Arabidopsis thaliana: one gene and its partner. The protein of the gene in region 2 interacts with the protein of the main gene of each other region in a pairwise test. Each region holds a gene or a part of one and is shown on either strand. Other genes may lie near its edges.

Region 1 (7,511 bases), on a different chromosome or scaffold from region 2:
AATAATTCAGATAAGAAAATTCGTTATCCGGTCAGATTTTTTAACTTTTTGGTTCGATTTCGAAACCGAATTTTTCGGATCGGTTTCGGATTTCTGATTTTATGCTCAGCCCTAAACAAACATTTGATCCAATTTTCCGAATCGGGCTGAACGTTGCTAATCCGATTTCTTATTCCGGTTAATATCCCGATTCGGTATAGCTATACCGAATGATCTCACCACGTGTACATAAAGCATCCACGTGTTTCATGAAGATTACACGTGGCACAAGCCAGCAGCGAAAACCTAGTCGCCTCTCTGATACATCTTCTTCCTCCTTTCCGGTGTTAAAGGAATCAAAACAAAATTCAAATTCCTAACTAAACAGTAATTAAATTAAAATTAATGAGGAAGACGAAGCTGCTTTGTTGATGATCAATGGCGATTTACAGATCTCTAAGAAAGCTAGTTGAAATCAATCACCGGAAAACAAGACCATTCTTCACCGCCGCTACAGCTTCCGGCGGAACCGTTTCTCTGACTCCACCGCAGTTTTCGCCGTTGTTCCCACATTTCTCACACCGTTTATCTCCGCTTTCGAAATGGTTCGTTCCTCTTAATGGACCTCTCTTCTTATCTTCTCCTCCTTGGAAACTTCTCCAGTCTGCGACACCTTTGCACTGGCGCGGAAACGGCTCTGTTTTGAAAAAAGTCGAAGCTCTGAATCTTAGATTGGATCGAATTAGAAGCAGAACTAGGTTTCCGAGACAGTTAGGGTTACAGTCTGTGGTACCAAACATATTGACGGTGGATCGCAACGATTCCAAGGAAGAAGATGGTGGAAAATTAGTCAAGAGTTTTGTTAATGTGCCGAATATGATATCAATGGCGAGATTAGTATCTGGTCCTGTGCTTTGGTGGTAAGTATAGAAGTATATATTCCTCAGGAAGATAATATTAGGAGAATGAAGAATCTGAGACTTTGTTTGTGGTTCTATTGTAGGATGATCTCGAATGAGATGTATTCTTCTGCTTTCTTAGGGTTGGCTGTTTCTGGAGCTAGTGATTGGGTATGCATCTTCTTTGTGATTCTTTTTTCTTTTTTGTAGTATTGGAAGAAGAACATTGTATTAATAGATGCTTGATTTTGTAGTTAGATGGTTACGTGGCTCGGAGGATGAAGATTAACTCTGTGGTTGGCTCGTACCTTGATCCTCTTGCAGACAAGGTAAAGTCTTTCTTTATCTATTATGTGTTTTACTTTGTTGGCTCATTGTGGATGTTCTCTGAATGTGTTTGAGAGTTAAGGTTAGTTTCAAGCTGCAAACATGTGTGAGGTTTCATTTCATTTCAATTCCGTTTTCTTGATTGTGCTCGTGTTTTGAATTCAGGTTCTTATCGGGTGTGTAGCAGTAGCAATGGTGCAGAAGGATCTCTTACATCGTGAGTATTCTTCTACCTCTTTTACTCCTGGTAGATAATAAGTTAGCAGTTACAATTGAAACTTTGAAATAGCTAGAGTTCACAAAGTTGAAGGGCGGAATTTTCTCTTATAAGGAACATGTGCTTTGATTTACACTCCAATTGAGTGATCGCCTGGGAAAAATGTATCAGAATTGTCGTATTCATAATTTCATAAGCACAGTTATTTGATCTCCTTGAACAAACCTCCTTACAAGATTGCATGGATGTATCAAGAGGAAACCGTACTAAGTTAATTAACTAGTTGCTAAACTCGGCTGTGTGTGTTAGTCCTAGATTGCACTACTACCTTTTAAACTTCTTAAAAATCTTTGATACTATACTCAATTTTGGTGGATGCATGGGACATTTGTGCTCTAAAGCTGGACTGGTTGGAATTGTGTTGTTACGGGATGTTGCACTCGTTGGTGGTGCAGTTTACCTAAGGGCACTAAACTTGGACTGGAAGGTGAATTTTTGTAACTTGAGCTAGACCACTAAACTAATTTCTCTTGTTTCCCTACATTTTTTTCCTGCTCGACCATATGCTTTAACAAGAACACGAATAAATTTATTGATGGGAATCATATTGGTCTTGTTTCTTTCAGTGGAAAACTTGGAGTGACTTCTTCAATCTAGATGGTTCAAGTCCTCAGAAAGTAGAACCATTGTTTATAAGCAAGGTATGATCTCTAGGTGATACAGCTTGTTCTCATCTTGGCATCTTTGGTATGTGTAACTGATTTGTTAATGGAACATGTCTATCGACAGGTGAATACAGTTTTCCAGTTGACTCTAGTCGCTGGTGCAATACTTCAACCAGAGTTTGGGAATCCAGACACCCAGACATGGATCACTTATCTAAGGTAATAGGTCTTTTTCGAATTACCACACAGCTGGACTAATCACTACCCTTAAAGTTATAAACATATGAAGTGTGTTCTCTGAAATCTTGTTATTGGTCTCATGTTGTTTTGTATCCAGCTGGTTAGTTGCTTCGACGACTATGGCTTCAACTGCAGCTTATGGTGTACAATACTGGAAGAAGAGACCTATATCTATGATTAAGAGATCATAGTTTCTAGTTTCCAACATTTATAAACTTCACACACGAGGCACATGCTTAATTAAAGAAGCTTGAACATGTCTTGTTGTTTTCCGGAATACGCAGCTCTCACTGTTTTCTACTGCTAACTGAAATAGAAAAGGAAAAAAAATGTACTAAAAGCAATGAAACATTTGTTCTGATATCTGAACAAAAGTACATTTCTTCTGATATCTGAGTCGGGCAGTGAATTCAAAACATGTTCCCTCGCTAAAACATTGCGACACTAGTAGAGGTTGTGTACAAATTGAGTGTGTTCATATCAATAACCACTAAAAGCAAACGATGTTTGTATACACAAAAAGATGAAGAGATGGGAGGAAAGAGAAGGAACCAAAACACACCCAACTACTAGAAACTAGGGTGTGTGGGTCGCAACTACGTGTCAGAGTCAAAATAGACTTTTGTGTATCATCTGCCTTTGCACCATTTATATCTGATCCACAAGCCAAACTACTGATTCGGGTGTTTAGGTTTGGGAAATGTAAGATGACAGAATCAGTCTTGGTGGATTTCATCGAAAGGCGCAGCAGCAAACCTCACATCTTCTGGCCGTGCAACCACAACTGGTTCATCTGCAAATAACGCTTTGAGGAATGATGGAGTCTTTAATGGACGACGATTAGTCATTCGCGGATAAACCTCAGCCAGAAAGTAGTAAGCGTGACCTGCTATCATACCCTGAAATGTTTTGATCAGACTGAAGTTAACTTGGGTGACAAAAGATCAAAAGAGACTGGAGAAGAAATTTTTTGGGATAATCTGAGTATATACCAAAAGATCCACCCAAGCACTGGCACCAACAAGGATAGAGAAGCCAAGAAGCACCTGCAAAAGCCAGAATTTGCAGAAGATGTTATTTATTCATTCCGGTGGAAGTTTAGGGAAACGAGAGAGTTAAACTCACCCATGGTAGGTAAGCTGCTGTGAAGGTGAACAGACCAAGGAAACTCATGTGAATATAAGGATTTTGTTTGCTCCATACATAGACCTGTGGAACACAAGAGACTATAAGCTGATATTTAGAGGCGACTTAGATTTGTGGGAAACAGAAGTTACCAACCATCATGAAAGTTAATGAGTTGCTGAGGAAGATGATTTTAGCAAATGATGCTGACAAGTATGGTATCATTCCACCGATAAGTACAATACCGGTTAAAACAGATGCTCCAAATAGGAGCATGTATAGGAAATCAGCAGTCTTTCCCCTGAATGAGTTTTCTTCAAGGAGTTTGCAGTATCGTGCGAGAAAGAACATATGGAACATGAAGTCCAAATCTACAACAACCCCAAACACATATTTGTTTATAAGCAATCAATCAGTCACAACGCTATTAACAAGTAGCAGCCTAGAGCTAATAATGTGACAAAGACAAGAGCTTCATATGAAAGTAATAAGCACACAAATGTTGTATCCAGTTTCATAGAGTAGTGTTAAGGGAAAATTACCCATCTTCCGGAAATACAAGAAATTAGTAACGAGACGCCAATATTGGTATTGCTTCACCACAAGTGTCGGATTCAAATAAAGGTTATATGGAGATATGATCTGCAAAACAAAAACAATCAGAATATGAAACCCTAATTTAGAGAATTTCAGAGAACCCCAAAAAAGATTCGCGAATAAGCAAGCAAGCACGTACATCGAGGGAACATCCGACGGTGGTGATAACAGCCGCCGTGAGATAAGAGCGAGTGATAATCGGCATCTGTTTATACCATTCTTCTACAGCCTGAGCCATATCTTCTCCGTAATCGCAATCGATCCGATCAATCAAACACAGTAAAAGCCCAACGGAATCTATGGAAGCTTCTTCTTCTTCTTCTTCTTCTTCTTCTAAGGTTTGCAATGAGTGTATTCAGATTTCAAATTTCACCAACGCACAACTTCGAAACGAACGACGAAACTGAGAGATTCGTCTTCTTCGTTTGTTTTGTATATACAGAAATTTATATGTGTATAATAGTTTAACATTTGCGATATTTGTTTAATTACATGAGCACGACTAATCAGCAAGCGCGTGGATTACATCAGCTATATACTATTTTTTTTCATCAATGTATTTATAATTTTGGGTCGAGTCTTAAACAATATCTGATAACAAAAAAAGTATTTATAATTTATATATCATTTTAGAAAAGAAAAACAGAAAACTAAAATCTATAACTAAAACTAAAAAACCTATGATTACAACAAAAAATACTACAAAGAAAGCACAAACGATATCAGTAGTCGTTTGAAGAATAAACATTGTCTGAGAATAATCTGTGAAGCTCAGACATCTGCGTGATTGTCTCAGCTCCCAAAAAACTCGAACCTTTATTTTTATTGCCACGAACAAACCTTAGACGAAGTCAGTCCTCAAAACTCATATAAACAAAAATATCACTTGATATGCTTCGAAAACTTGTTAATTCACTCTCTTCATTTTGCACTGTTTGCCCAACACTGTTAACAAAAATTTTACACATGTACCCCTATATTATCGATTGCGTAAGTTGTAGCTTGTAGAGGGATATTATTGCAGTAGTGTAGAAGAAGATTTTATGTAGATATATTTGGGAAGTTGTGTTATTTTATTAATGGTTTTTTTTTCTTACGTAGTTACTCGTCTCTTTCCAGTTTTGTATGAAGATAAGAGACTGTCGTTTTGAGGCGTAAGAAAAAAAGAAATGATTCCTCCAAATTCTTGTTTTATTTCGTTCTGTTTTTCGAACAGAAGTTCATCTATCAGATTTGTGCTTTGTTCCTCGCGTCTTTTGCTAGTAATCGATATAGATGTTTCCTTTTTATTTTGATTTTGACTTCCTATCTTGAGTTGTTTTACAAGGATTTATGTTTTTTTTTCTAGGAACGATGCTGCCGATTCTTCTCCCTCCCCGTCTGATTGCTTTTGGCAAAGAACTTCGCGGCGAGAGGATTAATGTTTATCAGAAGATAAGGGATTAGCGTGATACTAATGTTATCAGAATGTGTTATCGCCCAACATTGTTACCATTTCAACCTCTCGGCCTTTGTTTATGGGATTTTTTTAATAAATTAACTAAAATGATATCGTGATTAGCAGCCACGAAATTATTTTGTTATTGGTTATAAGATTATCGTGATACCGTTGATTATCAGAAAATGTAAATAGTTTTGATTATTTTTGCAAAACATCAGAATACAACCTGCGAAACTCTCATTATTGTTTTGCTTATTTGCTAGAAGGTATATCGACTAACATTGTCACCAGCTAAGCTCGTTGAGACTTAATTTAAAAGGCTACAAACAAGAGGCTCGCGTTAGCGGATAAGAGTGTATGTTTTAATGTTACCGAAGCGTCTCACTAGCTTTGATTCGTGTCAAAACACAAATTGACATCGTCTCGTTATTATTTTAATTATCTGCTAGTAGTTTTAACGACTAACTTCGTTACCATTTCCACTTGTAGGCTTTTGCTTATGGGTTTTTAAAAAAAAACTAACTAAACGTTATCGTGTTTATCAGATACAAACTTATCATGTTAGCCGTACACGGTTAGTAATCAGAGAGTGTTATTAGTTTTGCGTTAGCAGATACGAGATTATCGCGATACTAATATTATTAAATAGCAATATAAGTTTTGATTCTTGTTCAAAACCCAAAGCGACAACGTGTGGAATCGATATGAAATTATCCTGTTATCAAATTATCCTCGTACACAATTGTTTGAGACTTATTTTAAAAGGCTTCGAATAAAAAGGCTCGTGTTAGCAGATAAGAGATTATCGTGATATTAATGTTACTTAAGCGTCCCACTATCTTTGATTCGTGTCGAAACACAAATAGATATTATATCGTTATGTTTATAATACCCACAACCCCATAAATATCATACCCGCAACCCCATTTTTTATCATGCATAGTTTATTAATTTTCCGATCATCTGAGTATAGATAGTAATATAACCCTAAACAAAACGACTTAAATTACAATTTTATGAGGGATTATTTGATCAAGGATTAAAATCAATATCTATGTTTTAAGATTTAGAAACTACTTTTTTTCTTTCTAAATTTCCATGTTTAATTTGTGTGGATTTCATATTTTTTTACTATATTTTTTTTTGTTTCTTTAGTAATATAATCAAATCTGTTTCAATTCATTTCATTGTAAAGACCAACATTGGATTATGTTCGAATTTATATTGGCACTAATATCCATGATTCAATAGTACCTAGACAGTGAAGATATTTAATGAATTTGAGCTAACTATTGGCTTTTTAGCGACAGTGATAGTGAGGAAAAATAATAATAATAATAATAATCACAGAAAAGAAAAGAAAAAATTGTTTCTTTTAGTTTGGAATATTGGCTGCACATTTCAGAAAAAAAAAAAAAAGTGTTAGAATTTTTGAGCAATTTTAATCTTGAGCTTTATCAGCTTTACCAACAAATCCATTATCTATATTCACAGAAGAATCATCAATCTCAGGAGGCTGACTCAAACCAGCTGTTTCTTGAAGAATCTCTGCTGCAGAATCTGAGTTTGAATCAGAAGCTTTCATTTGCATTGGCTTCATGAGCTGGACTTGTTTTTGTGTTGCAGCAGACACTACGTTTATATCAGATGCTTTCATTTGCATTGGCTTCAAACCAGCATTTGTTTCACTAGCTGTGATTTCTTCTTGAGCTTGTATCTCCATTGAATCTCTGAAAACTTTACTTAGAAAGCTTACGTCGTCAGACATTACTCCAAATCCTGTCAACAGCTTCGAACCGAGCTGTAAACTTGTCTATAAACCCGAAACAAACAACCAAACTCGTTCAGAAAGAAATCTTACTGTGATCATAAAAGAGCAGACATCTTTTGGAAGTTTTTTACCTCTGCATTTTCGAGAATTGCATCTGTGGCTCCTGCTTTCTTTAGTTCAAGGAGATGCGGTAAATCTTGAGCTCTTGCGTAAATAGGACTCTGGTAATATGTTAAAAGGAACAGTTGTT
Region 2 (8,609 bases):
AGCATATGTCTAATAATCTCCTATATGAAGAGCTTATATAGATAAAAGCAAATTCGATTGTATTTATCTTTTGTTAACGAAAAATATATAATTTATTTCTTAATGTATAAGAACCAGTTTAAATTATACCTCTATTGATTTGGGTTTGTTTGTCAATGTATTGACTAAAGTCAAAATTAGGAACACCAAACACATGAGTTAGTTTGGGAGTGGCCAACAATGTAAAATATCCGTTAAAGTTGATGTACAAGAGACCAAGAAAATAAGATTGGTATCGTTGAGATTAATGTACTCTTGTCAAAATGTAGCCATAGCTCTTCTATATTCTTAGTTTTGTATGATATGGATTAAAATATTATATTGGGTCGATTTAAGAAGAATCAAAAGGTTGAGGGAATTATTTTGAAGAAAGTGGAGAAGTGAAGGGTAATGAATTTGGTGATGATGACAATGGAGAGAAGGTGCAACCGTGTGCGTAGGTTTGTCGCCACTCTTTGTCGGCTCTGTTCTCTATCTGCTTAACAAGCCCTCACATTTCCCTATTTCCACGTTCTTCTTTAGGATATGGAGACGGCTTCACTCACGTGTTTGGTAGGGCTTCCACGCACATGTATCCATGTTACTTCTTCCCATTTTCTTAAAAATATATTTTAAAAGCCATGAAACTTTTTTACTTCTCGATAATTGAGATTTTGTACTTTGTAGTTTAAAACATCACTATGAGTATGTTGTGTTCTATTTTTTTCTTCTGAAGACTGAAGATTTGTTACATTTGGAATATAAAAATTTTCTTGTGAAGACTGAAGAGTTTTACATTGATTGAAATATAAAGTTCTTGAAGGAATAAACGGTTAGGTTTCTAATAACTAACAATGATTATTTTCAACATTCAACTGAATTTAGATGAGTTTAAAATTCCCTGATCAAAATAACAAAAGGAGGTTGATGGTACTACAAATAAGTTGCACCTATTTTCGTAATCTTAAGTTTGTCGTAAGTACTATGTCGATAACAGAAAATTATCGGCATGAACCAAAATTGTAAAGAGCAACATGAACATCAACGAATTTATCAGGTTCATCCGATTTTTATGTATAAGTGTAACATCAACATTTTCATTATGAAAAGAAAACATTAATCAACTTTTACGTAAAACAAAAGGAAAAAAAAAAACAGAACACACGACTAGAATAAAACTAAAAGTTAACCTCTGTACAATGGAGATCTTTGTTGAAAAATCATCTTGGAGACTCTTGATTGTCTGAAAACCTTAATCGGACTTGGAAAGTACCAACCATTTCCCTTACTAGTCACCGGCGTCGGTGAGAATAGAACTTCTCCGGCAACGGAATTCGACTTCTTCATAACCTTAGCAGCCTTTATTTTCGTCTCTTCTTCTCTGTTTCCTCTGAACAATCTCCATAGCCAACGTCCACGACCCGGTTTAAGATCCTTCTCAGTTTCTAATATCGGTTCCGGTTTAGCAGACCAGAAATAAGGACCCGTAATCGATGTCGACCTCCGAAACGCCGGTTCGCATTCAATCAAGTTGGCAACACGGCCAACCGACCCAATACGGGCGAACGAAACGTCACCTTCTCCACGGGAAGACACGGAGGCGCGTGGAGTACACGAACAGGGAAGATCGTGAGCACAATCGGGACAGAGAGAGGAGAGGCGTTCGTGGAGGCAATAAGGACAAACACCGGCAACGCAGACAAAACGACCTTCGTGTCTTGAGCATTTCTGCCAAACGCTGCCTCCTCCTTCGTCCAAACGCAAATTCGTTTGAGTTTTCTCGCGTTGCATTTTCTTGTCTCTGAATCTCAGTTGCTTGTTGTGAAGGAGAGAGAGATGGAGAGATAAAGGTTTTAATATTGGAGTAATCAAATAAAGATTAATCCACTAATAAGCCCCACTCTGCTTAAGTCTTAACCATAACCGTAGTTAGTCAAACTAACTAAAGCTTAACTCATCAGCTCCGAATTATATGCCTTGATTATCGATCCCTCGCATATCCTTTGTAGATTTACGACTCACTATTACGTGGTTAATTTAGTAATTGTAGTTAAAACTTTCAAATTTTTATCTAAACTCACTGATATATATTAAAATTTCCCACACTACACATTTTTTTTTGTTACATCAATTAAAAATTTTCTTATTAGAAACTCTAAAAACATCATTGTTGTTACATGAAACTATGATACAGATTAGTGCAATTTGTAGATTCGGCAGCTTGTAAAATCGTATTGTTTTTTTGGTCATTGTTTGTAAAGACTTTTTGGTCTGTTTACCGTAATTTTTTTCGCTGATAATGAGAGTGAAGTCATATACTAATATATATCGGATATGATACAACTCAGTTACAACTTTGAACCAGTGAAACAAGTTTTTATTACCAGAACATGAAACAGAGAAGACGTTTTAAAAATACACGTACATATGATAGAACACAAAAGAGTCATCCTTATACAAACACATGAGCTAAAAAAGATGGTTTTGATCCTGGGTTTTTAACGAAAGGGAATTTGATTCCTGTGACTGCTCAAATGTGCAGCAGCCAAGAGCCATGTGAATCGAAACTGGTTACTTTCTCAAGTGAGGCGGTTTCATCTACAACAACATGACTAAGGGGAGGATCAAGATGTGTATGGGACAAAAAAGTGTGCAACGTACCAGTATTTTGAATGGTGTGAAAATGAGATATTTTTTTTTCAGTAATGGTTCCAGAGCAGACGTCTGTTCATGGCTGGTGGAGCTAGGCCCACACCCGGTATGTCGCGAATGTCTTTGTTGTTTGGGTTCACAATCTATACAAAAGAAATAAAAAGAAGAAGTTACATGTATGATAATGTGAACAAGATAACAGCGTTGGAAGGAAAGATATTGCAGATGAATCTAGAAGTGAGATCAAATTAACAATCACATAGGAGACAACTTTATATATTGCATAACTGAATAATGGAGAAAGACAAAATTGTGGGTATTTGTGCTTTTTATAGGTTCTTCGATCAACAAGGTATCCAGCAAAGTAAAAAACATAACCTCATATTATTCAAGAAAAAATAATGATGAACACCGAAATCTATTTAACTCAAACAAGTATCCAAGTGTGTGTGCACATTTGAATAAGAAAGGAGATGAGATGTACCTTGACGATGATGATTGCTATGACACCAATGACGATAAGGAAAAGAAATGCCATAATACATTTGTCAGTGGCAACCTGATAAAAGAAGGACAGAGAGTAAGTGAAAGGGACAAGAAGGAGCTGCAGATAACAAGTAATGATGATATAAAGAAGAAATAAGGAGATTTATGAGACTAACCTGCCTACCAATTTCCTTGACCAGCTTGGAGGCTTTCTTGAGTGAGAAATGAATAGAATCGAGCTCATTGACAACTCTACTCATTTGCTCGGTCTGAACAAGGAAAATGTAAACTATCTTAATAATTCTCAGAATTCACACACAAATACACAATCTTGGAAAAAAATGAGATTCAGGTAGAAGCAGGACTGTTTGGAAAGAAACAAGTGTGGGCTAACTACACACCTGAGCCTTGAGAGCTGCTGAAGTATCTGTTCCCACATTTATAGTTTCTTGTACAATCTGTTGTCACAGACACAAAAAAAGCAGTGAGATTTTGCTTTAGTGAAGATGGAAAAATGGACACAAGTTATCACATGGCATTCACGGCTCCATGAACATTAGACTGAAATTTCAAGAGACAATAAGACATTCATATAATCTGAAAACGGACCTTTTTCCCTCTCTCAATAGCTTGATCTGTGTCATCCATCATTGAGTTTCCTTTATCCATTAACTCTTGATTGGACATGTCTGAGAGTTATTAAGTTTCCAGTAAATACTCTAGTTAGGTTGTATGTAATCATATAACAACAAAGTGCAATAAATATCTATCTCATTGTTAGTTGGTCGCAAAATACGAGATTTAAAGACTTACTTGAAGCTAATAAGACATTTTCTTCCATGTGTTCTTCTCCAGGTCCATCGAAAAGATCTACTCGCTTGTTATTGCTTGCTAGGTTTGATGAGTATCTGTATAACCATCCTCATTATCATCAATCACCATAAATATGAGCATCAGTTAAGCAATTAGCAAAAGTGTGACCTACTTCTTCTTAAGAGCAACATATGAGTTGAGTTCCTTAACCATAGATTGTCGTCTATCGTTCAACATCCGGTTAGTGCTGGCATCATTACCGCTTTCCAAGCTTTTGATTTCCCTATCGAAATCTTTAATAAGGCTGCAAAGAAGAAGAACAAGGCATCATCATCATCATCATTGGATAATCAAACACCAGATTCAATGAATGTATACCTCTTACAGTCACGCATTTTGTCAGTGAGTTCTTCCAGCTGCCTACTCTGCCTATTAGCATCTTTGATCTTCTCCAGCTTCTGGAATCCATTTCTGTAGAAAACAAAAACATCAAAACATTATTATATAGACACAAATACCAAATCACAAATGGAGAGAAAACGCTAGAGAGAGATTCATTCTCACGATAAAGCACGGAAGATGTCATTGATTTGTCCTTCGATCTCAGCCAGCTCTTCGCTAACCGCTGATATTGGATCCATCTTTACACAGATTCCCAGAAAAATTCAGTGCCGATATACAAAAGACAACAATGTCTCTTCTTCAGATCCACGCGAGCAGTTTTTGAAAAATGTCGACCACGAATCGACTCGCCGAGATTAGATCCGATGGATCTGAAATCGAATCACCTCCAACGAAAAGAATTGAAAGCCTGGTGTCAAAATCGCCGAGCAAATCGTAATAACAGAACCCGTGTTTTTTTTCTTCAGATCTAAGAACAATGTGGATGTTCAAAATCGATAACGAAGAGATAGATATCAAAATCACGAGCACGAGCTCTCTCTCCCCTACACCCAGATTTTATTTGTTTTGTTTTTCCCTAATTTCTCTCGGACATTTTTTGTTTTTGTTCTTGGGGAATTCTAAAAGCTAATTTTTTGCCATTGATTTGGCTCGAAGGGACGAAAATGAGAGATTTTGAAAAACTGCGTTACCGAAAACCAGTGGGACCCGCCACGACATCGTTTGTCAGTGTTGGAACTCATATAACCTGGGACGTACGATTGGTCACCTCTCCAGATCTGACGATCCACACTCTTTACATTAGCTTAATTTTGATAATTGACTTTAAATGAAATTAAAATAAAGAGCACATCATAATAATTAATTCGAAAACGAAACAAAACTTTCAGTCCTTCATTAAATTAGAATCGTTTATTTATTATACAAACCGGTAAATGCAAAAATCGAAATCCAAACTAAATTTGAAAATAAGAAAAATTAGGACAAAGAAAAAAAAAAAGTGTACTTAAGAAAAACCGAATTCAACTAATTAAGGGAAGTGTATAATGTCATCTAGCTTGGCCCAAATAAAAACGGCCTAAATCCTTGCTTTTAGTTCATTCAAATAAATGCTTCATAGCATGAGATGTTGTCTGCTGTGTGAATCATAAGATCCCTCTTTTGATTTCAGATTTTCAGCCCATTTTACATTGTTTCTGAATCTGTTGAAATGTTGTCTGTTAAGGGACCAGATATGGTGCCAGTCTTAGGAAGCAAATCAAGAAGATGGAAGTGAGTCAGCACAGCAAATACTTCTGCTAGTTCTGTGGCAAGTATGCTGTTAAACGGAAGGCTGTTGGAATTTGGGGATGTAAGGACTGTGGGAAAGTTAAGGCTGGAGGTGCCTACACGATGAATACTGCTAGTGCTGTAACTGTTAGGAGTACCATCAGAAGGCTCAGAGAACAAACTGAGAGCTAGACTTCTTCTACTCATACACAACTTTTCAAGACCAGATTCATCTTTTGTTATAAGACTGATATACCAGATTCTTCTAATTGTTTAATCAAGATAGGGATTTTTGGCTACATGTATGTCAGTTGCATTCTATGAAGCAGACCCAATTTTTTTCTTGTTGATATACAAAGATCATCTCTAGTTTATTATCTACAGTTTCAAACTAGCTTTGCTCATAAAGGAACAAGAAAACCTGTTAAGGAAGATCTCTTCTAACCTATGCTCAACAATTGGTTTCAAGATCGCCATCATTCCTGTGAAAGGTCTGGGATTGGACAGCCTTCACGGCTGCTACTCTAGCTGCATTCGCTGCTCTATTTGCAGCCATCACCGCTCTCTTGATCCTCTCTTCCACTTTCACAACTTCATGTGCTTTCTCAGCTGCTTTCCTTGCTTGCTGAAGGAGAAAGAGAGAACAAGCTTAGTTTAATACATATATGGTGTTTGCAGTACTAAAGATAAACTACTAGTTAACTTTTACCTCAACAGCATCAACAACTTTGGAATGGCTTATGGTAAAAGATGATCCAGGACGGATAGTCTGCTCGGTAGGACAACTGAGTACACCGTCTTCCCAATGACCGGCTTGTGTATCACCATTCCTGAAAGTATACATACCAAGCCCTTGCCTTCTTCCCTCGTGCCAAGCTCCTTCATACTTATGCCCGTTCGCAAAGTGATACACTCCAAAACCATGCATCTTGTCTGCAAAATACTCCCCAGCATACGCATCACCATTTCTGCAACAGCAGCATAACTCCAAGTTAAATGTAGTTTTAAAGCCATGGTACCGCTAAAGCATACTGGACCACCAGTGCTTCATGCAATTGCTTAAGATCAATGCTAACTGAGAGTAACACAAAAGCCTAAACTTTGATGTTCACTAGACTAGCTTATAAGGTGAGGATAACCACAAGAAGCAGGAAACAAAACCCAGTTATCCATCTGATGTCAGAAATCGAAATTGAAAACCTTTCAGAGGTCCTCCAGATTCACACACCCAAGTGAACAAGGGCAACAATAAAGAGAAAGACAACTACACGACCCTTCAAAAACAATGGAACTCAAGATAGCAAACACACTTAGACGAGCAACATATACAGGGATCTAATGCACCACCATTACAGGTCAAAGCACAACCATATTCCAGAAACTCAAATGACTATGCAGAGTAAAAAAGAACAATGCTGACCTGAAATGGTAACTACCAAGGCCATGTTTGACACCCCACTTGAACTCTCCGTCATATCTACTTCCATCCTCAGAGGTATATACACCACAACCATGGCACTGCCCATTAGACCATTCACCAGCATACACATCTCCTGTATAAAACGTATAAACTCCAATTCCATGTCTTAGACCTAACCTATATTGACCTCGATACCTACTCCCTTTAGACCATGTTTCTACTCCATAACCATCATATTTCCCATCAATCCACTCTCCTTCGTATTTGCCTTTCATAGAATAGTAATAAACTCCACTTCCTGAACACTTTCCTCTATGAAACTCTCCTTCATACATATCATTAGTGCCATACTTCTGAACCCAAGATCCTGAATTTGTCTTATTATTCTCCGCAACTGGCTTCGACCCAATGGACCAAACAACTCGGTCAGTGCTCGGCTGAGAGGAAGAGAATCTGGCAGGGATAAATGTCAGCAAGCGTGCGACAAAAAGACGAATTGATGTTAAGTGAGGAAGAGCGAATCTGAGAGAGATCGAGAGGATGAAGGATAAAGCGATAATCACAAAGACTAGACGAAGGAAGATACGAAGATTGATAACAAGGAAGAAGATGTATAAAGGAGGGACAGCGAGAAGAAGCAAGAAACGAAGATGGAAACAAATCAAACGGGCTCTAAGGGTATAGCGTAGAAGCTTCCTCAAGAACCGAGCAATCACAGGACGATAGGAAGAAAGAGAAGACAAAAGATTTGATGGGAAAAATGAAGAAATCGATCCTGATCGTGCCCGTGCGCTTCTTCGTCGGAAATGGTCAACACCGGTTGGGATATCAACCGTGTGATGATGATTCTGACCTTGGGGATGATTATACTTAGTGAAGCCAGAGCCTTTATTATCAATGGCGGTTCGATTTTTATTCTGGGTCTGATGATGATGATGAATCGGATTGGGGATTTGGTTTGGATCGGAATCGTCTTTCCCGATTAATCGTCGTTCTGTTACAGATGATTTCTTCAGATGCATTTACATAAAGAGTATGGAACTTGGAAAGAGGATTTGGGGAGAAATGGTAGGGGATTTAGGGTTGTTGAAAATTAGGGTTTTTTCCAAATCAAAGCCTCTGGTTTTTGTTCCTAAAACAGTTTCCAAGTTTTCGCGAAGAAGAAGAAGAAGGAAGAAGAAGAGAAGAGCTCAATTTTGAACTTTTGAAACTAAGGTAAGAGATCCACGTGAGAACACAATAAACACCTCTTAGTTTCAGTTATTTACTAAAATGCCATCCATTTGCCACTTGTTGACCCAGTCCTTGATGACAATTTTTACTTAATGATTAAACAAATTATTAAGAGAGCTTATTCTCTAAGATTCCAAAATTGTGTGTATCTCTAATTGCAAAAACTTCAGGTGATTTTAAAGTAATGGTGTTTTATTATATGGTGTATTTATTTTTCTCTATTTAATTTATTTGGTGGTTTGGTTGTTAATTACCAACCAATAATTGTTTGTATGTTTATTTTAGTGAGTTATAATTACAATTGCGAGCTAACCTC

What was found.
Region 1: the proteins of NPSN11 (region 2) and DER2.2 interact in a protein complementation assay, tested with the Arabidopsis thaliana proteins (one large-scale study listed by BioGRID).

What each region holds. Positions count from the first base shown.
Region 1 is NC_003075.7:2,456,911-2,464,421, reverse strand, and holds DER2.2 (DERLIN-2.2), read right to left. Parts: upstream 4,570-7,511; 5' UTR 4,288-4,569; coding exon 4,189-4,287; intron 4,095-4,188; coding exon 3,995-4,094; exon of another isoform or gene 3,824-3,994; coding exon 3,609-3,823; intron 3,537-3,608; coding exon 3,453-3,536; intron 3,374-3,452; coding exon 3,320-3,373; intron 3,227-3,319; coding exon 3,044-3,226; 3' UTR 2,683-3,043; downstream 1-2,682. Other genes in the region: CLS (cardiolipin synthase), read left to right, coding at 418-899, 983-1,049, 1,133-1,207, 1,371-1,422, 1,824-1,909, 2,049-2,123, 2,212-2,306, 2,425-2,518; KEA3 (K+ efflux antiporter 3), read right to left, coding at 6,932-7,303, 7,393-7,482. UniProt on the Arabidopsis thaliana protein: May be involved in the degradation process of specific misfolded endoplasmic reticulum (ER) luminal proteins.
Region 2 is NC_003071.7:14,827,088-14,835,696, reverse strand, and holds NPSN11 (Putative plant snare 11), read right to left. Parts: upstream 5,072-8,609; 5' UTR 4,611-5,071; coding exon 4,534-4,610; intron 4,441-4,533; coding exon 4,348-4,440; intron 4,274-4,347; coding exon 4,142-4,273; intron 4,065-4,141; coding exon 3,970-4,064; intron 3,846-3,969; coding exon 3,766-3,845; intron 3,615-3,765; coding exon 3,558-3,614; intron 3,426-3,557; coding exon 3,333-3,425; intron 3,230-3,332; coding exon 3,155-3,229; intron 2,814-3,154; coding exon 2,718-2,813; 3' UTR 2,280-2,717; downstream 1-2,279. Other genes in the region: AT2G35200 (DUF740 family protein), read right to left, coding at 1,204-1,809; AT2G35170 (Histone H3 K4-specific methyltransferase SET7/9 family protein), read right to left, coding at 6,092-6,265, 6,350-6,608, 7,061-8,082. UniProt on the Arabidopsis thaliana protein: t-SNARE involved in diverse vesicle trafficking and membrane fusion processes, including cell plate formation.